Callithrix jacchus: one gene and its partners. Each later gene encodes a partner of the first gene's protein in a complex. Links are inferred from orthologs where the notes say so. Each region holds a gene or a part of one and is shown in the gene's direction. Other genes may lie near its edges.

Region 1 (3,500 bases):
TTATTCCCCCATTTACCAGTCGCACGTGCTAAATTGTGTCACAGAAAACTTACACTGTAGCAGAACAGTATTCTTTTGTAGTCCAGTATTTACTGTGGCTTGGTAGATTAATTAGTTGCCTTCCTTGTATCATACTAATAACTGCCCAATTCTTTTCCTCTTGAGGTGTGGATGTCAGCATGAATACACATCTTAAAGCTGTGAAAATGACCCTGAAGAACAGAGAACCTGTACAGCTGGAAACGCTGAGTATTCGAGGAAATAACATTCGATACTTTATTCTACCAGACAGTTTACCTCTGGATACACTACTTGTGGATGTTGAACCTAAGGTGAAATCTAAGAAAAGGGAAGCAGGTAAGTTTGAAGGAATATAAACATTTTTTTGAATGCCAATCCTAATCTACACTACTCATAATATAAATATTTGTAAACAACACAAGTGTCTTTGTTGCTTAATATTTCCTATAGTATGTATTATAACTCCTGGAGTTGCTGTTAAAAACATTGATGTATTTCCTGTTCAAAGGATTTATCATTTTCTGTCCCCTGCCCCCACTTTGGAAGATTTGGAGATGGACTCTTTATTCCTAGTATTCTGAAATTTCTTAATGTCTTGGTATAGGGGCTTCTCATGTCTGTAATTGCAGCTATTTGAGAGGGTGAGGTGGGAGAATTGCTTGAACCCAGGAGGTGGAGGTTGCAGTGAGCCAAGATGCCACCACTGCATTCCAGCCTGGGCAACACAGAGTGAGATCCTGTCTCAAAAATAAATAAATTAAATTAAATTTGTTTTTAGGCTGGATGCAGTGGCTCATACCTATAATCCCAGCACTTTGGGAGGCTGAGGTGGGCGGATCACCTGAGGGCAGGATGAACTCCCAGTCTGATCAGCATGGAGACTCTTTAACAGACCAGCCTGACCAATATGGAAAAACCCCATCTCTACTAAAAGAACTTTGTTTTCTTTTTTTGAGATGGAGTCTCGCTCTTGTCACCCAGGCTGGAGTGTAATGGTATGGTCTTGGCTCACTTCAACGTCCACCTCCCAGATCCAAGCTAATATTCTTCCTCAGCCTCCCAAGTAGTTGGGACTACAGGCTCTTGCCACCACACCCAGCTAATTTTTGTATTTTTAGTAGAGGCAGAGTTTCACCATGTTTGCCAGGATGGTCTTGATCTCTTGACCCCGTGATCTACCCACCTTGGCCTCCCAAAGTGCTAGGATTACAGGCGTGAACCACCAAGCCTTACCTATTTTCTTTCTTTAAAAAGAAAAAGAAGCCAGGCATGGTGGCTTCCAGTACTTTGGGAAGCCCAGATGGGTGGATCGCCTGAGGTCAGAGTTTGAGACCAGCCCGGCCAACATAGTGAAACTCCATCTCTACTAAAAACACACAAAAAAGAGCCGGGCATGGTGGTGGGTCTGTAAAGGCTGGACTGCAGAGTGAGACCCTATATCCAAAAGAAAATTTAGAATGTGACTGTATCAGGATTTTCTAATATTTATAGCTGTCTGAAGATGAAATGTTTATTTGGGTGATGAGTTCTCTGTCATCATGATACTCAACTTGAGTTAGGATGACCAAGTGACAGGGATATTGCTATATGGGTTAAAGCACTAGATTATGTTTGGGTCAAATGAATTTTAATTTTCTGAAGAGTTAATAAGATTGTGATTGATATCATAGTTATAAACTTTCCTGGATTTGAATTAACTTGCTTGGATTTTATTCAGTTACCAGACTCTGGCATCAGGTTATTCATGTTCTATTGATATATCTCTTCCATTTTTTGTGAGGTTCAAATCATTTTATGGTGAATTTGAGACATGATATAAAGAAAACATATTTAAAATTTGACAAATTTCTTAGTAAATAAATTGAAACAAATAATAATCTTCCTAGGCCTTTAGTTCTTGGTTCTGCATGATAATGTGTTGAGGGGGTGGCGGGAAATCTGAAGTCTTAACACATTTAAGAGAAGCTAGTTAAACTTAACTTTACTGTAACTGCTAATAAAGAGCTATAAACGGGGAAAGGTGTCTGTGTGTAAACGCTGTTTGTGGTGGCTAGGTAACATTCATGCAGAAGAGAATTGAATTTGCTTTGTTTTTCTTTTCCCTCAGTTGCAGGAAGAGGCCGAGGCCGAGGCAGAGGAAGAGGACGTGGCCGTGGCAGAGGAAGAGGGGGTCCTAGGCGATAATGTTTCTCATGATTACTGTTTCAAAGTCATATGGGATCTGGGATATTTTTTGTACAGGTTGTGTTTGTTTATGTCAGTTTTTAATAAACATAAATGTGGGACAGAGTGGTCTATTGAGTATATCAGAGTTTTAGTAGTTTCCTCCACATTCATAAGAATACCACAGTGAAAGCTAAGCATTTCTACTGGGCAGTTTCATTTTTAGATGATCAGGCTTTAAGTTTTGAACTAAAATTTTTATTTTTATGATAATAAAAATAAGGTTAAAAGAAAAGCCTCAGACAAATTAAATTTGACAGTTTAATTGAGCAAAGAACAATTCATAAATCAGCCCCTGAACCAGAATCGGTTCAGAGGCTTCAGCCCAGCTGCATAGTTGATGAGGATTTATGGACAGAAGAAGGAAAGAGATGTATGGAAAATGGAAGTGAGATACAGCAACAGCTGGATTAGTTACAGTTCAGCGTTTGCCTTATTTGAATATAGGTTGAACAGTTCGCAGCCTTTGATTGGCTGAAACTTAGTAATTGGCCCAAGAGTAGGGTACCATCTGTTTACATAACCAGTTAGGCTGCAGTTCACTTTGTACTGAGAAACCTTTAGGCTAAACTTAAGATATGTAAAGAGACAACTTTAGGCTAAACTTATATAGAATATATACCCTTTTACTTCACATGCACTGAATGTGCATTTTATTGCTTTACTCTGACATCATTCTGTGGCACCCACCTACAAGGGGAAGTAAGTTCTTTTTGGTATTTCAGAAACTAAAGTCCTTGTGGGATGGGGTCTAAAATTCTCAATTCCTGGGGGGCCGGGCGCGGTGGCTCAAGCCTGTAATCCCAGCACTTTGGGAGGCCGAGGTGGGTGGATCACGGGGTCAAGAGATCGAGACCATCCTGGTCAACATGGTGAAACCCCGTCTCTACTAAAAATAACAAAAAACTATCTGGGCATAGTGGCACGTGCCTGTAATCCCAGCTACTCAGGAGGCTGAGGCAGGAGAATTGCCTGAACCCAGGAGGTGGAGGTTGCAGTGAGCTGAGATCCTGCCATTGCACTCCAGACTGGGTAACGAGCGAAACTCTGTCTCAAAAAAAAAAAAAAAAAAAAAATTTCGCTGTTCCTGAGTTTTACTCCACAGAGTCTAAGGTACTTGGTAAAAAGTTGTCTTCTATATTAAGGGTCATTGCTTTTGTTTTCTAGCTGCTGATTTTTGTTTCTTTTGCTTTTTAATCAGTTCTCAATAGGGTATAGTTTTAATGTTCTCCAAGTTGAAACTTGGAGTTAAATGT
Region 2 (3,500 bases), on another chromosome or scaffold:
GTATGTGACTGAAGAACCAGAAATTTATGAGCCCAACTTTATCTTCTTTAAGAGGATCTTTGAAGCTTTTAAGGTACAAAAGAGCACACTTGAAAGGGGCAGTGCCAAACAGGGAAGGGGCTCAGAGGTGGGTGAGAGGCAGGGAACAGGCATCTTTTCAGTGCTGGTTTTAGGAACTGGGAAGGGACCCAGATGGCAGGGGTTTCACTTTGTCTGCCTCCTCAGCTCACTGATGACGTGAAGAAGGAGAAGGAGAAGGAGCCAGAGAAACTTGACAAACTGGAGAACTCTGCAGCCCCCAAGAAGAAGGGCTTTGAGGAGGAGCACAAGGACAGTGATGACGACAGCAGTGATGACGAGCAGGTCAGGTCTGGCTGTCCTGGCGGAAAGCAGGGACTCTGGGCACAGGTGGCTGAGAGGCATCCAGAGAGGGACCATGGTGAACTCTTGAAGAGCTTCGGTGGCTTAAGGTTGGGGTGGGTTGGGCAATTTCATTCACATCTGAGTCCTGCTCGAAAGAGGTGATTGTTCCGTTCTAGGAAAAGAAGCCAGAAGCCCCCAAGCTGTCCAAGAAGAAGTTGCGCCGAATGAACCGCTTCACTGTGGCTGAACTTAAGCAGGTGAAACTGAGAGGATCCTGCGGGCCCTGGAGCCCAGCTGGGAGACAACCTGGGAAGCCAGGGAGGTGACAACTTTGAAGGAAGTGTTGTGGGTGATTTGGGTATAGGTCCTTTGAGGAAGAGGAATGGGAAGAAGAGCTTCAAACCTGAGAAGTTGGGGCTTTCAACACACGCATTCCTGTGTGTTTTCCAGCTGGTGGCTCGGCCCGATGTCGTGGAGATGCACGATGTGACAGCGCAGGACCCTAAGCTCTTGGTCCACCTCAAGGCTACTCGGAACTCCGTGCCTGTGCCACGCCACTGGTGTTTTAAGCGCAAGTACCTGCAGGGCAAACGGGGCATTGAGAAGCCTCCCTTCGAGCTGCCAGACTTCATCAAACGCACAGGCATCCAGGAGATGCGAGAGGCCCTGCAGGAGAAGGTGAGGTCCTGGCAGGGCTCACACTTGCCCTCGGGTGTCCCCATCATTCACAGCAGAGTGCTGCAAAATGGGAACCTGGTTTGAAACCCACCTACCACCTACTTGTTACTTGTCTAATTATCCCTTTGTTTTCCTCCTCTGCTTTTCCTCTCCTCTGCCTTCACTTTGCCAGCTCACCTGGTGACTCGTTTCCCAGATGCACTTTGTGGCTACAGATTGATGGTGGTTGTGTAACTTCTTACATTTTTTTTTTAAGAAGGAGTCTTGCTCTGTCACCCAGGCTGGAGTATAGTGGTGCAATCTCCGCTCACTGCAACCTCCACCTCCTGGGTTCAAGCGATTCTCCTGCCTCAGCCTCCCAAGTAGCTGGGACTGCAGGTGTGTGCCACCATGCTTGGCTAATTTTTTTGTATTTTTAGTAGAGATATGGTTTCACCATGTTAGGATGGTCTGGATCTCCTGACCTCGTGATCCACCCGCCTCAGCCTCCCAAAGTGCTGGATTTACAGGTGTGAACCACTGTGCCCAGCTGTAACTTCTTAATTTTAAAGCTTTTAATTAAATGCTTTGGACTCAGGAGGTACAAAAGAGCATGGGGAAGTCTCTGCCTTTCAGAGAACTGATGAGGTTCAGCTTTGGTGAGATGGTTTAATAACTAGTTATTGGTATACACAGCTGAGGCTGATACGGTGTAGTCTATTTTGTTGAGTATGGATAATGTTTTGAAGGGTTTGAGCAGGAACGATCTTGGTGACTTTCAGGGTGACATAATTGAGGCTTCTCTTGATTTCTTTTGGAGCTGGAAGCTGGATTCTCTACATGAATTTGGTGAGTACTTGTTAAAGCTTGTCTTTTGCCATTCTCCACAGGAAGAACAGAAGACCATGAAGTCAAAAATGCGAGAGAAAGTTCGGCCTAAAATGGGCAAGATTGACATTGACTACCAGAAACTACATGATGCCTTCTTCAAGTGGCAGACCAAGCCAAAGCTGACCATCCATGGGGACCTGTACTATGAGGTTTGGGAGGGGGCTGGGAGAGGCCAGTTTGGGCCTTGGGGTTGAGACTGCCTAGGGCTTTTTTTTTTTAAATGGAGTCTCACCCTGTTATTCAGGCTGGAGTGTAGTGGAATGATCTGGGCTCACTGTAACCTCTGCCTCCTGGGCTCAAGCAGTTCTCCCATCTCAGCCCCTCAAGTAGCCAGGACCACAGGCACACCATGCCTGGCCAACTTTTTTAATTTTTGGTAGAGACAGAGTTTCGCTATGTTGTCCAGGTTGGTCTAGAACTCCTGAGCTCAAGCGATCTGCCCACCTCAGCCTCCCAAAATAAACCACTGCACCTGACCCAGGAGGGCTTTTGAAGTGACTACAGTAGTTCCTCAGCCTTAGAATTGCCCATTGACTACCTTCAGATGAGATGGACTTTAAAAATGAGGTCCTTTTTGAAGGAGAGATGCAGACCTGGTGACTTCTTTGTCGGATAGACTTTTCGTATCCTGTCTTTGAAATGATAATAGTTGGTGGTTGTTGGTTTAGGGATGAAGGAGCCAAGGGGAAGATGCTTTTAGGAAACTTAACACTGAGGGTGGTAGACAAGTTGGTATTTTCTGATCCTTGAAATCGTAGTCACCATGATGTCATGGAATTTATGAGGTAGAAGAATTAAATGCAGATTATCCCTTTGAGTGCCCTCATTTTACAGATGAGAAGGCAGGTCCTAACGTTGGCCATGTTCTCACAGTGGGTTATTGACAGCACTGGGAATCTGGGCTTTTCCCCTCCGCCCTGGTTTATATTCCTTCCCCCACTTTGGCCAGGGAAAGAAGTGATGAGAATCAGAGTGGGAGCCAGCTAGCCCTCAGTGGGATTTTCTATCTGATGTGGGTTAGGACTTCTCGCCTTTGTTTTCACATCCTCTTGCGGTTGTGCTCCCACTGAGTGTCTGGGTCTACAATGCAGTATGCTCTGCTTTTCCCTCAGGGGAAGGAGTTTGAGACACGACTGAAGGAGAAGAAGCCAGGAGATCTGTCTGATGAGCTAAGGATTTCCTTGGGGATGCCAGTAGGACCAGTGAGTGTCAGTGGGCTGGGGAAGCAGTGAAGAGGGTGGGGATTGGGGCAGAAGGCAGAGTCAGGGATAGGGTTTGGCAGATGGTATCCTGTTCTCTTTTTCATGCAGAATGCCCACAAGGTCCCTCCCCCATGGCTGATTGCCATGCAGCGATATGGACCACCCCCGTCGTATCCCAACCTGAAAATCCCTGGGCTGAACTCGCCCATCCCTGAGGTGAGCATTGTCATTTTGTTTGTTCAGTTCTGCTGTCTCTGCTTTTGAACTGGAAGGTAATTTTTTTGTTTTCCTTCTCTGACTCCACTACGTGTCTCTTTTTTATTGACACATCATATTTGTCACATACCATGTGTTTCTAGAAAAACAAAGAATGGTTTTTGTTTTTTA
Region 3 (3,500 bases), on another chromosome or scaffold:
GACCTCAGGTGATCCATTCACCTTGGCCTCCCAAAGTGCTGGGATTACAGGTGTGAGCCACCATGCCCGGCCAACAACCAGCTAATTTTTAGTAGAGATGGGGTTTTGCCATGTTGGCCAGGCTGGTCTTGAACTATTGGCCTCAAGTCATCTGCCTGCCTTGGCCTCCCAGAGTGCTGAGATTACAGGCATGAGCCACCACGTCCAGAGAAGTTTGGACTTTAGACAGCTTAGTAGCAATCAAAGGATTTTGAGCAGAGATGTAACTTTCATTCAACAAATATTTCATGAGTTCTTTCTGTGTGGTGCCAGATACACATGAGTTGATACAGTGATGCACAAAACAAAGTCCCTAGCCTACTTGTACTTGCGGTCTGTTGGGGAAACAGTAGATGCGTAAATACATAATGTCAATTTATGGCCAGTGCTGTGAAGAGATACAAGGCAGCATAGCAGGATGGAACTTGACTCCTGAGAGGTGGGGGTGAGGACTGGCATGAAGATATTTGTTTTGGGGTATAGGGAAGGCCCTTCAGTAAAGGGAAAGTGGAATAGAGACCAAACCAGGTGAGGGAGGAGCCAGGCTGATATTTGGGAGAAAAGTGCCACAGACAGAGGGAACAGCTGATGCAAATGAAATGATCCAGTGAGGAGTGCATGTACGTGGGCAGAGCAAAGCAGTGTGCAGGAGGAGTGAGGGAGGGGTTGGAGTGCTAGCAGATGAGGTCAGAAAGGCAGCTAGGGTAGGTGATCCAGGCTTTTAAGGGGATTGGATTGCATTCTAGAGTAGGATAGGAAACCACTGAAGGATGGGGAGTGATATGACATGTTTATATATTAAAAGGACCATCCTGGATGCCATTGACAGGTTGGGAGTAGAAACAGGGAGATGTGTTAGAAGGCTCTTACAGGAAGTGTTGTGTGAAGATGGAAGTGGTGGTGAGGAAGACGGGACAGGAACTTGAACACTCCCATTCCCCTTCTGAAAAAATTAACACCCTAAGTCCTCTTCTCCATTTTCTTTCCTCCTTGTGCCCCTGCTGACTCCCAGCCCCCATTTCCCTCTGCCCTGTCTTCTGTCCTTGTCCCTTGCTCTTGACCTTGGATACTAATTCCCTCAGCTCCTGCCCCTTACCGCAACTGCTTTACTACTTCTAACTTTCCAAGATGACTTTTTCTGGGTAACGAGGTTGGCAGGGTCACTGGGTGACCCCATATCCTCTCACTCAGGTGGTTGTGGCAACAAACATTGCTGAGACATCACTTACCATTGAGGGCATCATTTATGTGCTGGATCCAGGGTTCTGTAAGCAGAAGAGCTATAACCCCCGCACAGGAATGGAATCACTCACTGTCATACCCTGCAGTAAGGTCAGCTTGGGGATGCATGGGGGTCAGGGAGGTAGAATTGGTCCACAGGGAAGGTCCAACTCCAGAAGCAGGGTGGGGGCTTCTTAGCAAACGGGGATGAGCAGTTTACATCCATCTTAATTTCTTGCATAAATACTGCCCTTTTTCTTTTCCCCAACCAAATTGTCAGCTAGCCTGCTCGCCTTTCTTTCCAGGCCTCAGCCAATCAGCGAGCTGGCAGGGCAGGTCGGGTGGCTGCAGGGAAGTGCTTCCGCCTGTATACTGCCTGGGCCTATCAGCACGAGCTTGAGGAAACCACAGTGCCTGAGATCCAGAGGACTAGCTTGGGCAATGTCGTGTTGCTACTCAAGAGCTTAGGTGACTGGGCTACCTGAGAGAAGGGGGAGGTGGGCTGGAGTCATGGTCCTTTGAAGGGATTCTGTTCCATCCTTCCCACCTCTCTCTAGGGATCCATGACCTAATGCACTTTGATTTCCTGGACGCTCCACCATATGAGACACTGCTGCTGGCTTTGGAGCAGCTGTATGCCCTGGGAGCCCTCAACCACCTTGGGGAGCTCACCACGGTGAGTTGGTGGGCAGCATGGGTGGGGGCAGGATGATACGGGTCAGGATGGCTCCAGGGACCCCTATAGCAATGGAGAGAATCCTGAGGGAGGACCGGGCTCAACTCTCTGTCTTCTCTCCTTAGTCTGGTCGAAAGATGGCAGAGCTGCCGGTGGATCCCATGCTGTCCAAAATGATCCTAGCCTCTGAGAAGTAAGCCCTCCTCTCCACCCAGGCCCCCAGGCCTCCTCTGTCTCTGGGGTCTTCTTTGTCTCTTTGTCTTTTTCTCTTCATATTATTATTTAATAAATAATAAATTATTAGATAACTCTGAATGCCCCCTTTTGAGGCCCACAAGGGTAAGACACTTGATCCTTGATCCTGTCCTTGATTATACTAAATGGGCAAGACTGACTGACAGAAAATTCTGGGTCATGAACGAAAGTAGATTTTCCATCTGGGAGGGTTATTGAATGAGGGCTGGTTTTGGAACTTACTCATTCCCAAGGTTTCAAACTAGAACATTTAGATGTAGCTGTGGAGGGACCACCTTTAAATGCCATTCCTCTGCTGTCGAGATCTTTTCCGAATGCACATAGTGAATGCACACTTTCTGTAGAAACCTCAGAAGTCCCCAGTGTTTTCTGCTCCTGCCTCCATGGATATCCCTCCCTTGTGACTGTGTTTCATCTATGCTCCTACCTCCTTGACCCTCAAGCTGCTGCCAGAATCTATCTGCTGGCTGCTTTGTAACCATTATGCCAACCAGCCTTCCCCACATGAGGAAACATCCATCACACAGCGGTCACTTCCCCCTCTACCATATCTGTGCTTATGTGTCTTGCTTTGAACTCGTGCTTTCCCCTTCCTGTCCCAGGTATAGCTGTTCAGAGGAGATCCTGACAGTGGCTGCCATGCTGTCTGTCAACAATTCCATCTTCTACCGGCCAAAGGACAAGGTTGTCCATGCTGACAATGCCCGTGTCAACTTCTTCCTTCCTGGTGGTGACCACCTGGTTCTGCTAAACGTTTACACACAGGTCACTGGGCTTGGGTGAGTGGGAAAGAGACATGGGGGGACTTCAGTCTCGCTGTACACTTAACTACCTCTCCTTTCTTTTTAACTCTCTTCCCAGTGGGCTGAGAGTGGTTACTCTTCCCAGTGGTGCTATGAGAACTTTGTACAGTTCAGATCAATGCGCCGAGCCCGAGATGTGCGGGAACAGCTAGAAGGGCTCTTGGAACGTGTAGAAGTTGGTCTCAGTTCCTGCCAGGGGGACTATATCCGTGTACGCAAGGTCAGCATTTCTTTTGCCTACTGCCTTCTACCCGCAGTAGCTTCCTGGTGGCATGCAGCAGCTCCTCCAGCCTGAGGACATGCCCTCTTCCCCTTATGTACCACATTTCCTCCCAGGGCTTTCTTCCCCAGACCACTGAAGGTTCATTCCTGGGGGATTCTTCATGCCTTCCCTACCTCGCTAGTTTTCCCAAAGCTTGAACTAAAAAGGTAGTGAGCACTTAGGGTCCCCAGATATCTGCCTTTTCCATTGATTTTCTTTCCTGCCTTCCCCTTAGGCCATCACT
Region 4 (4,221 bases), on another chromosome or scaffold:
TCGAGGCAACAGTCCCTGACAATTTAATTTTTTATAGAGACAGAGTCTTGCTATATTGGGCAGGTTGATCACGAACTCCTGACTTCAAACGATTTTCCTGTCTTGCACTTCTAAAGCATTGGAATTACAGGCTGCTGCCACTGTACTTAGCTGTAAATAGCTCTTTTGACAGTATAAGGGTCTCTGGTCAGGTGTGATTACATTATTGGGAGGAGAAGAAAGAAACAATTATTCCTTTTGGTAGTCTGGATATTAGACAGATAAAGTCCTGTGCTTTGGGAGAGACGGTGGATTCAAGGAAGGAACATCGAGGCTTCTTCAGTTCAGCAAGTCAATGTGCCTTATTTTGGGGTTTCAGTTTCTGAGCCCCAACAGCATTGCAGAAAGTTTATTAAACAGAAGAGGAAACGCTAATGATTTGACCATGGGTTCTCATCTCTGATTGCATTTCCATTTCTTTCTCCCTTCTATTTCCAAATGTAAATGTAATTACAGTTTGTGCACAATTTTGTATCCTGCTTTATCGTTAACATGTTTTAGAGTTTGTAAATGGTTTACTAATGGCCACATAACACCCATTAATTTGGCTAACTTCCCTATTGCTGAGCATTTACATTGTTTTCACGTTTTGTAATTACTAATAACGTGGCAACAAACAGCCTTGAGAAGTTTGCTTTTTTCCAGGTTTTTTTTTTTTTTTTGTGATGTCTCTGTCACCCAGGCTGAAGTGCTGTGGTGCAATCCCCGCACGCTGCAACCTACGCCTCCTGGGTTCAAGCGATTCTCTTGCCTCAGCCTCCTAAATAGCTGGGATTATAGGTTTGCACCACCATACCAGGCTAATTTTTGTATTTTTAGTAGAGACAGGGTTTCACCGTGTTGGCCAGGCTGGTCTCGAACCCCCGACCTCAAGTGATCCGCCTGCCTCAGCCTACGAAAGTGCTGGCGTGAGCCACCACGCCCAGCCCTGCTCTTTTTTTTTTTTTTTTTTGAGACGGTTTCGTTCTTGTAGCCCAGACTGGAGTGCGGTGACGCAATCAGCTCACTGCAACTGCAACCTCCGCCTCCCGGGTGCATGCGATTCTCCTGCCTCAGCCTCCCGAGTAGCTGGGATTACAGGCGCACGCCCCCATGCCCAGCTAATTGTTTTGTATCATTAGTAGAGACGGGGTTTCACCGTGTTGGCGAGGATGCTCGCCTGACCTCAGGTGATCCGCCAGCCTCGGCCTCCCAAAGTGCTGGGATTACAGACGTGAGCCCCCGCGCCAGGCCAGAAGTTTGTTTTTGAAACCCGAAACTCCTGCCACCAAACCTAGTCACTGACCACGCTCACTGGGGAGTCGTCACCTGTTTAATCTCTCTGCCGCGAAGATATATGGGAACCGGGGCACCCCGGAAGCGGAAATCCAGGAGTCAAACACGTCATTTCCTTCAGCTAGAGGAGCTCAACGGATCTGTTTTCTTTCGCTCAGGCAAAATCACAGAATGAAGGCGGTGAAGAGCGAACGGGAGCGAGGGAGCCGGCGAAGACACCGGGACGTGGATGTGGTGCTGCCGGCGACGGTGGTGGTGAAGCAGGAGCGTCTCAGCCCGGAAGCCGCCCCTCCCGCCCACCGTCGTCCGGACCACTCCGGCGGTAGCCCTTCCCCGCCGGCCAGCGAGCCGAGCCGCCCGGGCCACCGCGGGAACCGAGCCCGAGGAGTTAGCCGGTAAGTGGGGGAGCAGCCCAGGATGGACCTAGGGTTGGGCTCATTCAGAAAGGCGGGCAGGGCTAGCGTCCGAAACGGGTTTTGAATGCTGGGCGCAGCTAGCCCGGACCTAATCCAGAGGCGGTTGAGAGTGATCCAGTCGTGCCTGTGTTATGCTTGCTCAGTCACTTGCATGATAGCTCGGTGTTCAACGCCTAATGCCTAACTGGCAGGATCCCGTCCCTCCATTCTTGTGTCCCCAGCACTTTGCAAAGTGTGGCTCAGCAGGTAGCACAGATAATCTGTTAAATTGGAATGAGATTCTCCTCATCCCGAATGGAGGAATGGAGTGCGGGCGTTGTCTTTACAATTACCTGCCCAAAAAGTTTTCACGTCGACAGAAACTAAAAAAAAAAGTTCACATAGATTTATGCGTTCCTTCAGCGTAGTTTTACTGAGTGCCTGTTAAGTGTTAAAAGACTGCCCTAGGTTTTGGGGCTGCAAGGGTGATTCAGTTAGATGGTCTTCACCGTTTCCAAATCTAGCCCTGAGACAGACAATAACAAGAAATAAATAAAGTGGGTTTCAGTTAGTAACAAGTATTATTGACAGGTTAAAACAGTACTGTGATAGTGAGAGATTGGAGAGAAGAGGGAGGAGGCCTCTAAAGAGGTGCCATTTGAACTGCGACCTGACTGATAGGAATGATCCAGCCTCTGAAAGATCCAGGCAGAGGAAACAACATGTGCAAAGCACTTGAAGTAGAATGAATCATGATTGAAATGGGAAAAAGCCAGTGTCAGTGGAGTATAGTGGTCAAGCAGGTGGGTGGTAGGAATGAGATGGTATAGGCAGGAAGCAGAACCACAGGATGGATAAATTGTTATTGATGGTAGGGGTGTTGGTAGTGAGGGGTAAAGAGTCAAAGGTGACTTCTGGATGGTGATGCCAATTAACAAGATGGCAAAGAGTAGGAGAGGAAAGGTTTTTGAAGGCTTGGGAACTAAGAGCTATGTTATCTAAGTGAGAAGGTTCAGTAGAGAGTTGTCTTTGTGAGTGTGGAATGCGAGGGAGATGTTAGGGCTAGGAAAGTGAACCTCGTGACTATAATGTGTCTGTCAGAGACCTTCACAAATGTGGTGTTTGTGTTAGTATGTAAGCCTGATACTGGAAGCTAATTTTTATGGGGGAAGGGAAATTGAGTAAAATCCTGTATGTACCATGCTTTGTATAGGTCCCCACCCAAAAAGAAAAACAAGTCCTCAGGGAGAAGAAGCAAGTCTCCTCGGAGTAAGAGGACCCGAAGTCCTCACCACTCAACAGTCAAAGTGAAGCAGGTAAGTGGATTGGGGTGTTTTGATGTTGGGGCCACATAGAGAGCCTTTTCCTATCATAGCTAGAGAGGGCTGTGTATGTGTGTTGTGTGTGTGTGTGCACGCACACTCGCCTACATTTCTACTTGTACTTCCAATGGGCTTTTCTGAAAATTGGGTATATTTCTTTTTTTCTGCTTGTTTGCTGAAATTCACCTTTTTATTTTGAGATTATTGTTGGTTCACATGCAGTTGTCAGAAATAATTCAGAGAGATATACTCTGCCTGGTTTCTCCCAGTGGTAACATCTATTCATAACAGAACTGTGGTACAGCATCACCATCAGAATATTGACATCAGTATAGTCAAGATAACATTTCCTTCACCACAAGGAATACCTCCTGTTCTCCTTTTGTAGCCACACCCACTCATCTCCCACCTTTATCATTCTTTAACTTCTGGCAACTTCTAATCTGTTCTTCATTTCTGTAATGTTTTCATTTCAAGAATATTACATAAATGGAATCATACAATGTGTAACCTAATTTAGGATTGTCTTTTTTTCACTCAGCAGAATCCTTCAGAGATTGATTCAGGTTGCATCTCTCAGTAGTTTGTTCCATTTTATTTCTGAGTGATATCCAATAGCATGGATTTAGCCACTCACTCATTAAAGAACATCTGGCTTGTTTCCATTTTTTGGCTATTACACATAAAGCTGCTATATAGACATTTGTGTATAGGATTATATGCGAACATAAGAGTTCATTTCTCTGGGATAAATGCTCAGAAGTGCAATTGCTGGATTGTATGGTAGTTGCAGGTTTAATTTTTTTAAGCAATTACCAGACTGTTTTCCAGAGTGGCTGTATTAGTTTACTAGGGCCACCATAATGAAATGCCATAGAGTACGTGGTTTAAACAACAGAAATTCATTTTCTTGTAATTCTGGAGGCTAGAAGTCAAAGATGAGGATGTTAGCAGGTCTGGATTCTCCTGAAAAACATCCTCTCTCCTTGGCTTGTAGATGGCTACCTTTTTACTACATCTTCACATGATCTTTCTCCTGTCCTGGTGTCTTTTCTCAGCCATATTGAATTAGGGCCCTACGCTCATTTTAACTTAATCAGCTCTGTAAAGACCTCATCTCCAAATACGGCTATTAATACATTCTGAGGTACTTGCGTTTGGTACTTCAACAAGCTAATTTTGGAGGGCAC
Region 5 (3,949 bases), on another chromosome or scaffold:
GGGTGGAGGAGTGTATATTCCTGAAAATATCTCCTGCAACCAGTGTTCGCAAAGCCGGTTTAAGGAGATGCACTCCCCTACTAGAACTTCCAAGTAAGCTAGTAGTTGAGGACGAGAAAATCTTTTAATTATTCTGCGAGTTCACCATTTTTAGGGCAGTAACTTCTGGACACAGAATTTGAGACTCAGAAGAAATCTTATACATCATTCAACAAAGCTCCATGTTTTTATAAGAAAACTGAGGCCCAGAAGCACAAAGAGACCAATCTGTGGCCACAGAGCAGCTACCTACAACAGGAAAGGCTAGGAGTAGAACCCAGACACCCGGCAGGTCCTAGCGACTTCTAAGACAAACGATGGCTCCGGTTACCTGAGTCGGCCAAGTGTTTCCACTTCAAATTCTATTTTAAAGCCATACCACAGTTAAGGTAGTTTTTCTTGGCCGCCTGCCCCCTTAGGCCTACAATTACAGTCTCTCCCTTCTCCCTCCCTTCCACGATATACTTTCCCTGTAATCCCATGCAGTTGCGGGGGGAGGAAGATAGTTACTTTCTTTCCTTCAGAGTTTTTCTTTGGACTGTAAACTTTTTCACGTAAACAAAACAAACTCATGAATTTTAAGGCCTCCACCTAAATCCCCATGGGCGCTGCTCCCTACATCCTGCACCCTACCCTATCCTCCCTTGCGCTCCCTTCCGAGCTCGGACGCAGTGGCTCCTTACCTGGGACCGCCATGACGGTGGTGACAGGGGTCACTGCAGCCTCCGGCTTTCGAAAAGGCGCTTGCTTCCCGCCAGCTGCGAGGACAAGGCACAGCCAAAGCGGCGTTTGCCTTCCCCAGAGCGGCAGCACCTTCGCTACAGTCGGAAGGCCCTGTAAGCCTCTAGCGACAACAGAACCAGTAGACGCAGATGCGGTTTCCGGACGAGTCATATTGCAGAAGACACATGGTCCGGACCATTACTGTTAGTTTTGGGGGGTGCTGAGTGCGATCTGCACACGCAAGTAGTGAAGTAAACACCGCCAAAACTTACGAAGTGCCTCTTCTAATGTTGTAATACAAATTACATTAAGCCATAGTAGCTTTACAGACTTTTTTTTGTACCCAGGAGTACATTGGAATCACCCTTCTCAGCATTAGCGGTGCTCGGGTCCGATAACAACATGGCGGCGTCCGAGAGGGGTTGTTTTGGGCAAAGGTAGTGTTTGGTGTTCCTGTCTTGCGTGATGTTGACAAACTGAAGCTTTCCTGGACCACTCGACTTAACGAAGAGTGTGCTCGTAGGCGGACAGCTTTCGTGACCCGCCGTCCACTCTCATCCCCCATAAGGAGCAGAGTCCTTAGTACTGATCGCGATGAGCAACATCTACATCCAGGAGCCTCCCACGAATGGGAAGGTGAGAGCTTCATCTAGGGAACTTGGGGCCCTGAGATCCCCAAAATGAGATTTCCCGGATTTGGGGTGGGGAATGGGTTCAGGGATCTTGTGGTAGGAAGAGACCACGAGAAGTGTTGTCTTTACTTCTTCCTGTGGACAATGTTGCATCGAAACACTGAAGCTGGTACTTCTCAGCATGTACTTGAAAAAGTCAAGTGGAGATTTCCCTATCCAGCAGCGTTCCGGTCATATTTTCTGCCTTAACCCAACTCACGCAGCCTATATCTAGGGCCTTAAGTTTTTAAAAGTACATTTTTGAGTTTGATATATTCTTTGCTTAACTTGGAGGTCATTAATTCTCCATTTCTTCTACAGTCATTAATTGAACGCCTGCTAGCCACTGGGCACTGTACTAGGCGCCGGAGATACAAAGAGGCATAGGTAAGGTAGTTTTCCAGGAAGAGCTTACAGTTTAGAGACAGGCAGGTAAACAAAAGCCTTGTATGTCTGATAAGAGTGCTTGTAGAGAAGAGACCATGTTACTATGGTAATACTGAGTAGTGAACAATTGGGAAAGTTAGGAAAAGCATCATGGAGAAGCTATCTTTTGAGCTGGTTTTAAAACCTGAGATGACTGTCATTCAGAGAAAGGGGGAAATGGGGAATATTACCACATTAGAATGGAAAAATGTTTCTCTGATTGATTTAATGGCTAATGTATGCCAATTCCCATCCAAGGTGTTTGTATACAGTACAAGGCAGAAGAGTCAGTTGTAGAATAAGTATCACCTGAATTTTTATTTATTTATATATTTAAAGTATTTATTTTATTGCATTTTAGGTTTTGGGGTACATGTGAAGAACATGCAAGATAGTTGCATAGGTGCACAGCAGTGTGATTTGCTGCCTTCCTCCCCTTCACCTATATCTGGCATTTCTCCCCATGCTATCTCTCCCCAACTCCCCACCCCCCGCTGTCCCTCCCCTATTTTCCCCAATAGACCCCAGTGTGTAGTGCTCCCCTCCCTGTGTCCATGTGTTCTCATTGTCCAACACCCCCCTATGAGTGAGAACATTCGGTATTTCGTTTTCTGTTCTTGTGTAAGCTTGCTGAGAATGATGTTCTCCAGGTTCATCCATGTCCCTGCAAAGGACACGAACTCATCATTTCTGATTGCTGCATAATATTCCATGGTGTATATGTGCCACATTTTCCCTGTCCAGTCTATCATCCATGGGCATTTGGGTTGATTCCAGGTCTTTGCTATTGTAAACAGTGCTGCAGTGACCATTCGTGTGCATGTGTCCTTATAGTAGAACGATTTATATTCCTTTGGATATATACCCAGTAATGGGATTGCTCGGTCAAATGGAATTTCTATTTCTAGGTCCTTGAGGAATCGCCACATTGTCTTCCACAATGGTTGAACTAATTTACACTCCCAACAGCACTGTAAAAGTGTTCCTATTTCTCCACATCCTCTCCAGCATCTGTTGTCTCCAGATTTTTTAATGATCGCCATTCTAACTGGCGTGAGATGGTATCTCAATGTAGTTTTGATTTGCATTTCTCTAATAACCAGTGATGATGAGCATTTTTTCATGTTTGTTGGCCACATGTATGTCTTCTTTTGTAAAGTGTCTGTTCATATCCTTCACTTCCTTTTGAATGGGCTTATTTGTTTTTTTCTTGTAAATCTGTTTTAGTTCTTTGTAAATTCTGGATATCAGCCCTTTATCAGATGGGTAAACTGCAAAAATTTTTTCCCATTCTGTTGGTTGCCTATTCAATCTAATGACTGTTTTTTTTTGCCGTGCAGAAACTATGGAGTTTGATTAGGTCCCATTTTTCTATTTTGGCTTTTGTTGCCAATGCTTTTGGTGTTTTGGTCATGAAGTCCTTGCCTACTCCTATGTCCTGAATTTCGCCTAGATTTTCTTCTAGTGTTTTTATGGTGTTAGGTCTTATGTTTGTCTTTAATCCATCTGGAGTTAATTTTAGTGTAAGGTGTCAGGAAGGGGTCCAGTTTCTGCTTTCTGCACATAGCTAGCTACTTTTCCCAACACCATTTATTAAACAGGGAATCCTTTCCCCATTGCTTCTTTTTGTCAGGTTTATCAAAGATTGTATGGTTGTAGATTTGTTGTGTTGCCTCCGAGGCCTCTGTTTTGTTCCATTGGTCTATATCGCTGTTTTGGTACCAATACCATGCTGTTTTGATTACTGTAGCCTTGTAGTATAGTTTGAAGTCCAGTAGGGTGATGCCTCCCGCTGTGTTCTTTTTACTCAGAATTGACTTGGCTATGCGGACTCTCATTTGGTTCCATATGAAGTTTAAGGTGGTTTTTTCCAGTTCTGTGAATAAGCTCATTGGTAGTTTGATGGGGATAACGTTGAATCTGTAAATTACTTTGGGCATATGGCCATTTTCATGATATTGATTCTTCCTAACCATGAACATGGAATGTTTCTCCATATGTTTGTGTCCTCTCTTATTTCGTTGAGCAGTGGTTTGTAGTTCTCCTTGAAGAGGTCTTTACGTTCCTTGTTAGTTGTATTCCTAGGTATT
Region 6 (4,170 bases), on another chromosome or scaffold:
GAATCCCAAATCTGACACTCATTATTTGACCTTAGTCAAACTGGTTAACCAATCCAAGTCTCAGTTTCTTCATCTGCCAAAAGGAAACAATAAATGTACTTGATAGGGTGTGAGGGTGACATGAGCTAATGTATGTGAAGCCCCCAGCACAGTGTCTGGCATAGTAAAATTGGAGCTGTTCCTCTCCATTGGAATAGTAGGACAGGACTTGTCCCAACCCGGCAGTGCAACACTGTGATGGGAAAACAAAGATAAAGGCAGAACAGGTGTAACACTTTAGGAACTTTTCAGAGGAGTTTACCTAGAAAGGCCACTACATTCTTCTCAGGACTAAATCCCTCCTGACTGTTGTCTGCACCCCAATCCTGGAAAACTCACCGTCACCCCATATTTGAGTGCTAGTCCAGCCAGGGTGTCTCCAGGCTCCAAGTGATGCTCCAGGCGTCTCTCCCTCACTGGGGAGCAGGCCGATTGCACGAGGCTTCCATATGAACGAGCCCGGCTCCCTTGAAGAAGTCCTGACCCCCCTGGGGGGGGCTGTCTAGACGGGGAAGCCATCTCTTCACCCTAACGACAGGTAGGGTTGCAACTGGGGAAGGCCCGGCCGAGACTAAGGGTGACAGGCCTTAAGTCTGGGAATGGATATTCAAGGGATTCCTTTCCCCTTCTCTCTTCCCCTGTGTCCCCGCCTCCCCGGCACTACGCCACCTGCCCCCTCCCGGTTTCTCCTCTCTCCAAGCTTGTTATCCACAAATCTGTCCCTTGAGTATTCAGTCCCTCCCTGAATCTCTCCCCTAAGCACCCCACCGACTGTGAACCCCCCACAACTCCTCGCTACATTGACCTCTGACCTTTGACCTCTAGAAATAATCCTCAACAGTCTTTCCTCAGTTTGCCCCCAAGTCCGGTAGCCTGGCCTCTGGGGGCTCTCGCATCCCGGGTCTGCCCGGTCCCGGGGTTCGTCCGCTAGGGTCAGAAACAAATCAGCCCACCCCAGGTGAACTGTCGCCGCAGATGAAGAGCGCGAAGATTGCGAGAGTCTGTAGTACACCTTCCACTCATCAGAGAGGTCACACCCTCACATTTCGGCTCCACATCTAGCTTCTTGTCCCTCCAAATGCCGCAGATCCGCCAGGATGCGAGGGCCTGGATCCAGCAGAGCGGCAAGCTCTTTGAGAAAAGACTTCATTTCCCAAAAGGCTCGGCGTCTGCAGTGTCGCAGGGCACCATAGGAAATGCAGTTCCCTCCGTGCACCAGCGAGTAGATTTCCGGACGCGCAAAGCCTGTGTGGAAGCGCATCCCCGGAAGTACGGAGGCCGACAGGAAGAGACTGAAAACAGAGAAAGAGTTGTCCCACTCTTGCTACGGTGGCCTGGAGGAGTTGAGAAACCGGAACAAGAGAATTTATCATTTCTGGGACTCACAGTCGTGATGTCTTTCAAGAGGGAAGGAGACGATTGGAGTCAACTCAATGTTCTCAAAGTAAGCGTGAGCAGAGAGGATCCAGGGCAGCTTCAGTCGCTCTCTGAAGGTTGGGAAGGAGCTTTGTTTTGTTGCACTGGCAACAGCTCGGGGGTGCGGGAGAGAAAGAGGCGACTTAGAGCTGGGTAGTGACACCTTTTTCGGTCTATGATCACTATTCTCCCCAGGGTCCTTATTCCATTTGACTCCTCATTTCTCTCATTTCACTTCCATCCGTTTCTCCTATCTGCTGATGCCGTCCGGATTTTTTCCCCTTCTCCCTGCAGAAAAGAAGAGTCGGGGATCTGCTAGCCAGTTACATCCCAGAGGATGAGGCGCTGATGCTTCGGGATGGACGGTAAGAGCGAGGAGTGGCCCAAGCCTGAGGGTTCTATGGTTAGAGGCTCAACAAACAAAAGATAGAGGTCTCTCTGTGTTGCCCAGGCTGTCCTCAAACTCTAGGGCTCAAGTGATCTTGCTTCCTCAGCGTCGCGAGTAGCTGGGATTACAGGCGGGCGCGACCATGCCCGGCTTCAACAAACTTTATTGATTGATTGATTGATTGATTGAGACGGAGTTTCGCTGTTGTTACCCAGACTGGAGTGCAATGGCACGAACTCGGCTCACCGCAACCTCCGCCTTCTGGGTTCAAGCAATTCTCCTGCCTCAGCCTCCCGAGTAGCTGGGACTACAGGCACGCACCATCATGCCCAGCTAATTTTTTTTTTCTTTTGAGACGGAGTTTCGCTCTTGTTACCCAGGCTGGAGTGCAATGGCGCAATCTCGGCTCACCGCAACCTCCGCCTCCTGGGTTCAGCCAATTCTCCTGCCTCAGCCTCCTGAGTAGCTGGGATTACAGGCACGTGCCACCATGCCCAGCTAATTTTTTTGTATTTTTAGTAGAGACGGGGTTTCACCATGTTGACCAGGATGGTCTCGAACTCTTGACCTCGTGATCCACCCGCCTCGGCCTCCCAAAGGGCTGGGATTATAAGCATGAGCCACGGCGCCCGGCCCCAAACTTTTGTTATTAATCAGGACAGCAGGAGTATCTAGGATTCCTTGGCCGGAAGTGAGGATCGGAAGAAGTGGGGATTGGATGACCTGGAGTTGGGCTTTGGAAAGGACTGCTAGGACAGGGTGGGACTTACTGTAGGGACTGGCCCCACCCTCTTCCCCTGGACCAATTATCCTCTTCTCTCCCCCTGCTCAGTTTTGCTTGTGCCATCTGCCCCCATCGACCAGTACTGGACACCCTGGCTATGCTGACTGCCCACCGAGCAGGCAAGAAACATCTATCCAGTAAGTTTGGGGAAAGACAGGGTATGGGGAATAAACCCTCGAAATTTCTGCACACCGCTCTTGGTGCTATGCTTTTAGTCTTGTTTCCCTTTCTCCTCAGGCTTGCAGCTTTTCTATGGCAAGAAGCAGCCAGGAAAGGAGAGGAAGCAGAATCCAAGACATCAGAATGAATTGAGAAGGGAAGAAACCAAAGCTGAGGTAATCAGAATGGAGAGTGTATTCTAGTCAAGACCCTGCTGCACACACCAGGCTGGAAGGGAAGAGGGCTGAAGCCTCTGACTCTGTCTCCCATCTCCTTATCAGGCTCCTCTGCTAACCCAGACACGACTTATCACCCAGAGTGCTCTGCACAGAGCCCCCGACTATAACAGTTGCTGCCGCCGGAAGTACAGGTATGGGAGGGGAAAGCCAGAGGTCGGAAGGCTCAGAAGGAGAAAGATGGCTCTAAAAGTTCTCCAATGTGAGGCCAGGCGCGTGGCTCAAGCCTGTAATCCCAGCACTTTGGGAGGCCGAGGCGGGTGGATCATGAGGTCAAGAGATCGAGACCATCATGGTCAACATGGTGAAACCCGGTCTCTACTAAAAATACAAAAAGTTAGCTGGGCATGGTGGCGTGTGCCTGTAATCCCAGCTACTCAGGAGGCTGAGGCAGGAGAATTGCCTGAACCCAGGAGGCGGAGGTTGCGGTGAGCCGAGATCGCGCCATTGCACTCCAGCCTGGGTAACAAGAGCTAAACTCCGTCTCAAAAAAAAAAGTTCTCCAATGTGTATTCTAAGGAACACTGGTATTCCGGAGATGTTACTTAGTGTTTCAAGAAAAGGAGAATTTTGGCCAGGCACAGTGGCTCATGCCTGTTATCCCAGCACTTTGGGAGGCCGAGGCAGGTGGATCACTTGAGGTCAGGAGTTCAAGACCAGACTGGCCAACATGGTGAAACCCCATCTCTACCAAAAATATAAAAAATTAGCTGGGTGTGTGACGTGTGCCTGTAATCCCCAGCTACTCGGGAGGCTGAGACAGGAGAATCGCTTGAACCTGGGAGGCAGAGGTTGCAGTGAGCCGAGATCATGCCACTTCACTCCAGCCTGGGTGACAGAGTGAGACTCCGTCTTAAAAAAAAAAATGGTGGGGGCTGGGTGTGGTGGCTCTTGCCTGTAATCCCAGCACTTTGGGAGGCTGAGGCGGGTAGATCACAAGGTCAGGAGATCGAGACCATCCTGGCTAACATGATGAAACCCTGTCTCTACTAAAAATACAGAAAATTAGCCAGGCATGGTGGTGGGCACCTGTAGTCCCAACTACTCAGGAGGGTGAGACAGGAGAATTGCCTGAACCTGTCGGGAGGGTGAGAGAGGAGAATTGCTTGAACCCAGGAGTTGGAGGTTGCAGTGAGCTGAGATCATGC
Region 7 (4,233 bases), on another chromosome or scaffold:
GAAAATATGCATAAAAGATGGGTATACAGTAGTCTTTTGATATCGGTATCTTTCATGGTGTTTTCCTGGGTGGCTAGCTAATAAAAAACAAGAAGAGCATATGCAATAATGACTTTTTCCATTGTCCAAAATGTTTCAACCCCTACAAATAAGTCATAAAGTCAATTTCCTATGGGCAATGTATTTGTTTCAAAACACCTGGACCTTATAATAGGTGAAGGGGAGAAAGGCAGCAAATCACACTGCCACGTGTGTACCTATGCAACAATCTTGCATGTTCTTCACATGTACCCCAAAACCTAAAATGCAATTTAAAAAATTGCTCTCACTTAATTCACCCAATGCTTTTCAAAGGCAGATACTTTACTGATAAGGAAACACGACAAACAGGTAAGGAGGTCCAAGTTCTCAAGAGCTACAGCCCTCTCTCTGGTACAACGAAATAAAGGGATGGAGAAGGAAACGGATGGCAAGAAGGGACAAAGGGAAAGTTTCCTATAGATTCTATCTTAAGCTGATTGAGGGAGGGCAATCATCAGGAATCCATCCTCACAACAAACCCTTCATCCATTTTTCTGAGCCACCCTCGGAATCGCAGCTGCCAACAGGAGATGCTCCTACAATAAGCAGGAACCAAACTCAAATGTTTGCTGAACGAATGAAGGAACCAGAGTATGTAAAGTGGGAAACTAACTCTCCTGGGAAACCCACACCGTGTTAGGCCCTGGCGTGCCCCCAGGACACCTACAAGGGTGCCACGGGTATGACCTGGCCCACCTCGCTAGGCACCGCAGCAGAGAGACGGCGCTTCCGAGCGGCCCCCAGAGGAGCCCTCGCGGGCATCGCCGCACCTTCACTGGCAGCCCCACCCCAACCTGGGTCGCTCGGGATTCTGCCCGAGCCTAGGCCGGCGCGAGCGTCGACAGCCAGGAACCAGCAGAGAGGCAGGATCAAAGAGCACGGGAGTTGGAGACAAGGGAAAACTGGGGGACAGAGGCAGAAACTCGGATCCGAAAGGGGGGGTCTGTCCATCAGAGCACGCCGGAAGAGTGGCGCTCGAGCTGAGGGCGAGAGCGGGCGGGCCGGGACGCCAAGGCTCACGGCTGCTACGGCAGTTCGCGGGGGTGGCTTGCACCCCGGGGGGCGAGATCGCCGGGGGCGTACATTGGGGCTTACCTAACTCTCCCACCCGCGGAAGGGAAGCGGGGAACTACTGCCTCCTACCATCAGGTACGACGTGCTACCCAGGCCCACCCGCAAGCGCAGGGTTAAGGGGCGGAGATCCAGGGCCGCATAGCCAGTAGCAGAAAGAGAGGGGCGGGCAGATGGGGCAGCCCCGCCTAGACGCTCCCGTTCATTCCTCCCGCGGCCTTCCAAGTTTGGGCTAGACCGGAGCGGCGTGCTTAGAAGCCGGAAGTGGGTTGACGTAGCCCGGAAGGGGAAGCCGTCCGGGTTTTAGTTTTGATGTTTTCGGGCTGCTGTTGCTGCTGCTGCTGCTGCTGTTGCGGCTAGGGGAACCGTCGTGGGGAAGGATGGTCTGCGAAAAATGTGAGTTAAGGGGCTCCTCCTGCGGGAGGAAGAAACTGGGGGAACCTAAATGAACTCTCCCGGGAACTCTGCCTTCTCTTTTGTTTTTTCTTCGCCCACATCTTTGATTCTAGTCGCTGTCCTTCTGCTCTACCCTTTGACCATTTTTGCACCTCCCCAAAGACCATATAGTCCTATAGTATATTTTGTTTTCAGAATGGTCTTAGTTCTGCATCTCCTTGTCTATTTCCATTGCCTTCCCCCAGCTCCAGATCTCATCAGCTCCCCTCCCGTATAAAAATGTTCAGTTAAACCCCAATCACACCTTTCCCTCTTGCAATTCCTGACCTTTCCTTTTTATTCATGTAACACACTAGAACCAAAGACCAAGGACCTCGTCTTACTCATTCCTGTTAGTCATTATGCCAGAATATGGCTTAGAGTAAGCCCAGAAGATGTGTGAATTGAACATCAACGCAAGTGCAAGTTACTATTTCCCTAATTTAACACCTTTAATAAATTCTCAGTGTGCAGAGAACAATGTGGGGATTCTGTATTTGGAGCCTGACGTTCAGGACCCTCCGCAATAAGGCCCCAACTTATTTTTCCAGCTTCATCTTCACTGATCCTTACCCTCTTCACACTTTGACCAAACGTAACTACCCTTTGTGCCCATGTGTACTCGGAGCTTTCCATGCCTTTCCTCAGAATGTGTCCTTTATCAGTCTGCCTTTATCCTCTTTACTCCTTTTTGTTCACAGTCCTATTGCCACATATTCAAATCCTCTCTCTTGCCTTCTCCCCAAACTTTCTTGGATTTCCTTAGCCAGGGTTATATCTTCCTGCATGGAATTTCACCTAGTACTTTAGCTCTCAATTATTACACCGTTTAATTTTTAGCTTATATTTTGGTTGAATGATTCTCAGGTTCTCTCTGAGAATCTGAAGAAAGCTATAGACTCTTGCCAGGAAAGAAAAAAAAAAGATATATAAAAGGTTTGTGTACAATTCTGCCTTGTTCACATATCTCTTAAGATCGACCTGTGGAACATAGATTAAAGATTGCTGTTAAACTACTGTACTATAATCTCTTTAAAATTTTGTCTGATTCATCACTTATTTTTTTCAGTAATTTGTATAGTTTATACATCATAGATGCTTAGTAAATATGTATGGAACAAATAGACTTGCCAGATTTGTTTAAAGTATAAACAAACAGAGAAAGCTTATTATAAGCCATCTTATTATCCTACGGATTTTACTGTGGATCAGTCATTCATTGCCCACAGTTAATACAAGTCTCAGTTCACTGACTGCTCTCCCAGCATTAACAGGCTCCTGCAGTAATAGGACTGTTGATACCATTGTGAACCTTAGGCACAATGTGATGCACTTATGAAATACTAAATTTTAAATTGCTTTTTACTATCTTATTATAACAGGTGAAAAGAAACTTGGTACTGTTATCACTCCAGATACATGGAAAGATGGTGCTAGGAATACCACAGGTATTTCTTCTTTTAGAAAATAGGAATTTAACCAGAGACTCCTGTGAATATTTTATCTTTTACGTTATTTGTAAAATGAAATGTGTTCAAAGTATTTTGTCTATTAAACATGAAAGAATCCTGGGTCCCCAAGTTATTTAATATCTTCTACTTAGTTCTGTTACTTGTACAGGTTCCTAACATCAGGAGATAGCAAAATTATTAAATGATTGTCAAGTGGTGACAGTATCATAATATTTGATTTGATTCAGCTTATTTAGAGACTGCATTTAATTTCTCCGCTCTTCTGAGGAGAAATTTTTTTAAATCTGGTTTTTATATTCTTGAATAAATCCTTTAACCCATTTTACCTTCATTATCATTAATTACTTACAGTGAAGTATTTACCTTCATTATCATTAAATACATAAAGTATGTTTTCGAAGGGAAAGAAAAGAAACATAGACATTCAAGGTCTATGACACTGAAGTAGTGGGTTCTAGATTTTACAGTATATCAAGTAAATATAGACCCATTCCTAAGGTACTACCTTGAGTCTGAAAAATAAAATGATTGTATTTTATACAAATTTTTATTGTTTCTCTAATAAATGTTTTCTTTTTAAGCAGCGTCTTAATAACCTGACTGTTAAATGAAGATTTAAAAATTAGATATAGGCTACTAGTTTGGCAGAAAGTCAGAGAATGAACTTCTTAATGTTATATGTTAAATGTATAGAAGTAACCCTTTAAAATAACTTCTATTTTGATACAGAAAGTGGTGGAAGAAAGCTGAATGAAAATAAAGCTTTGACTTCAAAAAAAGCAAGGTGGGTAAGAGGATCCATAGAGAAGTCATATAATTTTCACTCTTTTAATGTTAAGCCTACTGGAGTGAATTTGATGTGCATCATTCCAATTGCAATAAAACATAGAGTTAGGTGGTTCCTGGCACTCAGAACCAAGCTATTTGTTATAACCTGCTGGTTTTACCTTATTCCTCCTTACTGTATGTCCCCCTCTGACTTCATATTGTACCATACTCCTCCTCATTCATCATATGCCATCCTCATTGGTTCTGCCAAGCCTCCCCCATCCAAAGAGATTTGTCCTTGCTGCTGTGTCCTCGAGGTCTTTACTGAGAGCTTACGTATCTGGCTCCTTGGTGTTTGGGTCTCAGCTGAAGGGTCTTTTCTCGGAGAGGTTTCCCTAATCAGCCT

What was found.
Region 2: SNRPD1 (region 1) and SF3B2 share a complex: the UniProt entries of both Homo sapiens proteins name them as parts of the minor spliceosome. The link is inferred for Callithrix jacchus from reciprocal best matches to the Homo sapiens genes SNRPD1 and SF3B2.
Region 3: SNRPD1 (region 1) and DHX16 share a complex: the UniProt entries of both Homo sapiens proteins name them as parts of the minor spliceosome. The link is inferred for Callithrix jacchus from reciprocal best matches to the Homo sapiens genes SNRPD1 and DHX16.
Region 4: SNRPD1 (region 1) and SNIP1 share a complex: the UniProt entries of both Homo sapiens proteins name them as parts of the minor spliceosome. The link is inferred for Callithrix jacchus from reciprocal best matches to the Homo sapiens genes SNRPD1 and SNIP1.
Region 5: SNRPD1 (region 1) and CWC27 share a complex: the UniProt entries of both Homo sapiens proteins name them as parts of the minor spliceosome. The link is inferred for Callithrix jacchus from reciprocal best matches to the Homo sapiens genes SNRPD1 and CWC27.
Region 6: SNRPD1 (region 1) and SCNM1 share a complex: the UniProt entries of both Homo sapiens proteins name them as parts of the minor spliceosome. The link is inferred for Callithrix jacchus from reciprocal best matches to the Homo sapiens genes SNRPD1 and SCNM1.
Region 7: SNRPD1 (region 1) and CRIPT share a complex: the UniProt entries of both Homo sapiens proteins name them as parts of the minor spliceosome. The link is inferred for Callithrix jacchus from reciprocal best matches to the Homo sapiens genes SNRPD1 and CRIPT.

The regions. Positions count from the first base shown.
Region 1 is NC_133514.1:64,593,271-64,596,770, forward strand, and holds part of SNRPD1 (small nuclear ribonucleoprotein Sm D1), read left to right. Parts: intron 1-165; coding exon 166-357; intron 358-2,128; coding exon 2,129-2,205; 3' UTR 2,206-3,500. UniProt on the Homo sapiens protein: Plays a role in pre-mRNA splicing as a core component of the spliceosomal U1, U2, U4 and U5 small nuclear ribonucleoproteins (snRNPs), the building blocks of the spliceosome.
Region 2 is NC_133511.1:123,134,727-123,138,226, forward strand, and holds part of SF3B2 (splicing factor 3B subunit 2), read left to right. Parts: coding exon 1-73; intron 74-225; coding exon 226-363; intron 364-539; coding exon 540-620; intron 621-813; coding exon 814-1,041; intron 1,042-1,910; coding exon 1,911-2,060; intron 2,061-3,023; coding exon 3,024-3,113; intron 3,114-3,221; coding exon 3,222-3,329; intron 3,330-3,500. UniProt on the Homo sapiens protein: Component of the 17S U2 SnRNP complex of the spliceosome, a large ribonucleoprotein complex that removes introns from transcribed pre-mRNAs.
Region 3 is NC_133505.1:35,451,228-35,454,727, reverse strand, and holds part of DHX16 (pre-mRNA-splicing factor ATP-dependent RNA helicase DHX16), read left to right. Parts: intron 1-1,230; coding exon 1,231-1,371; intron 1,372-1,565; coding exon 1,566-1,728; intron 1,729-1,817; coding exon 1,818-1,936; intron 1,937-2,061; coding exon 2,062-2,129; intron 2,130-2,793; coding exon 2,794-2,956; intron 2,957-3,052; coding exon 3,053-3,214; intron 3,215-3,491; coding exon 3,492-3,500. UniProt on the Homo sapiens protein: Required for pre-mRNA splicing as a component of the spliceosome. Contributes to pre-mRNA splicing after spliceosome formation and prior to the first transesterification reaction.
Region 4 is NC_133508.1:74,105,689-74,109,909, reverse strand, and holds the start of SNIP1 (smad nuclear-interacting protein 1), read left to right. Parts: upstream 1-1,421; 5' UTR 1,422-1,485; coding exon 1,486-1,709; intron 1,710-2,922; coding exon 2,923-3,025; intron 3,026-4,221. UniProt on the Homo sapiens protein: Required for pre-mRNA splicing as component of the spliceosome. As a component of the minor spliceosome, involved in the splicing of U12-type introns in pre-mRNAs. Down-regulates NF-kappa-B signaling by competing with RELA for CREBBP/EP300 binding.
Region 5 is NC_133503.1:144,762,449-144,766,397, reverse strand, and holds the start of CWC27 (spliceosome-associated protein CWC27 homolog), read left to right. Parts: upstream 1-1,149; 5' UTR 1,150-1,356; coding exon 1,357-1,398; intron 1,399-3,949. Other genes in the region: protein SREK1IP1, read right to left, coding at 723-735. UniProt on the Homo sapiens protein: As part of the spliceosome, plays a role in pre-mRNA splicing. Probable inactive PPIase with no peptidyl-prolyl cis-trans isomerase activity. As a component of the minor spliceosome, involved in the splicing of U12-type introns in pre-mRNAs.
Region 6 is NC_133519.1:11,058,873-11,063,042, forward strand, and holds the start of SCNM1 (sodium channel modifier 1), read left to right. Parts: upstream 1-1,370; 5' UTR 1,371-1,432; coding exon 1,433-1,483; intron 1,484-1,749; coding exon 1,750-1,820; intron 1,821-2,675; coding exon 2,676-2,764; intron 2,765-2,864; coding exon 2,865-2,962; intron 2,963-3,067; coding exon 3,068-3,156; intron 3,157-4,170. Other genes in the region: LYSMD1 (lysM and putative peptidoglycan-binding domain-containing protein 1), read right to left, coding at 379-558. UniProt on the Homo sapiens protein: As a component of the minor spliceosome, involved in the splicing of U12-type introns in pre-mRNAs. Plays a role in the regulation of primary cilia length and Hedgehog signaling.
Region 7 is NC_133515.1:68,132,468-68,136,700, reverse strand, and holds the start of CRIPT (cysteine-rich PDZ-binding protein), read left to right. Parts: upstream 1-1,433; 5' UTR 1,434-1,532; coding exon 1,533-1,548; intron 1,549-2,969; coding exon 2,970-3,035; intron 3,036-3,788; coding exon 3,789-3,843; intron 3,844-4,233. Other genes in the region: PIGF (GPI ethanolamine phosphate transferase, stabilizing subunit), read right to left, coding at 1-77, 778-1,032. UniProt on the Homo sapiens protein: As a component of the minor spliceosome, involved in the splicing of U12-type introns in pre-mRNAs. Involved in the cytoskeletal anchoring of DLG4 in excitatory synapses.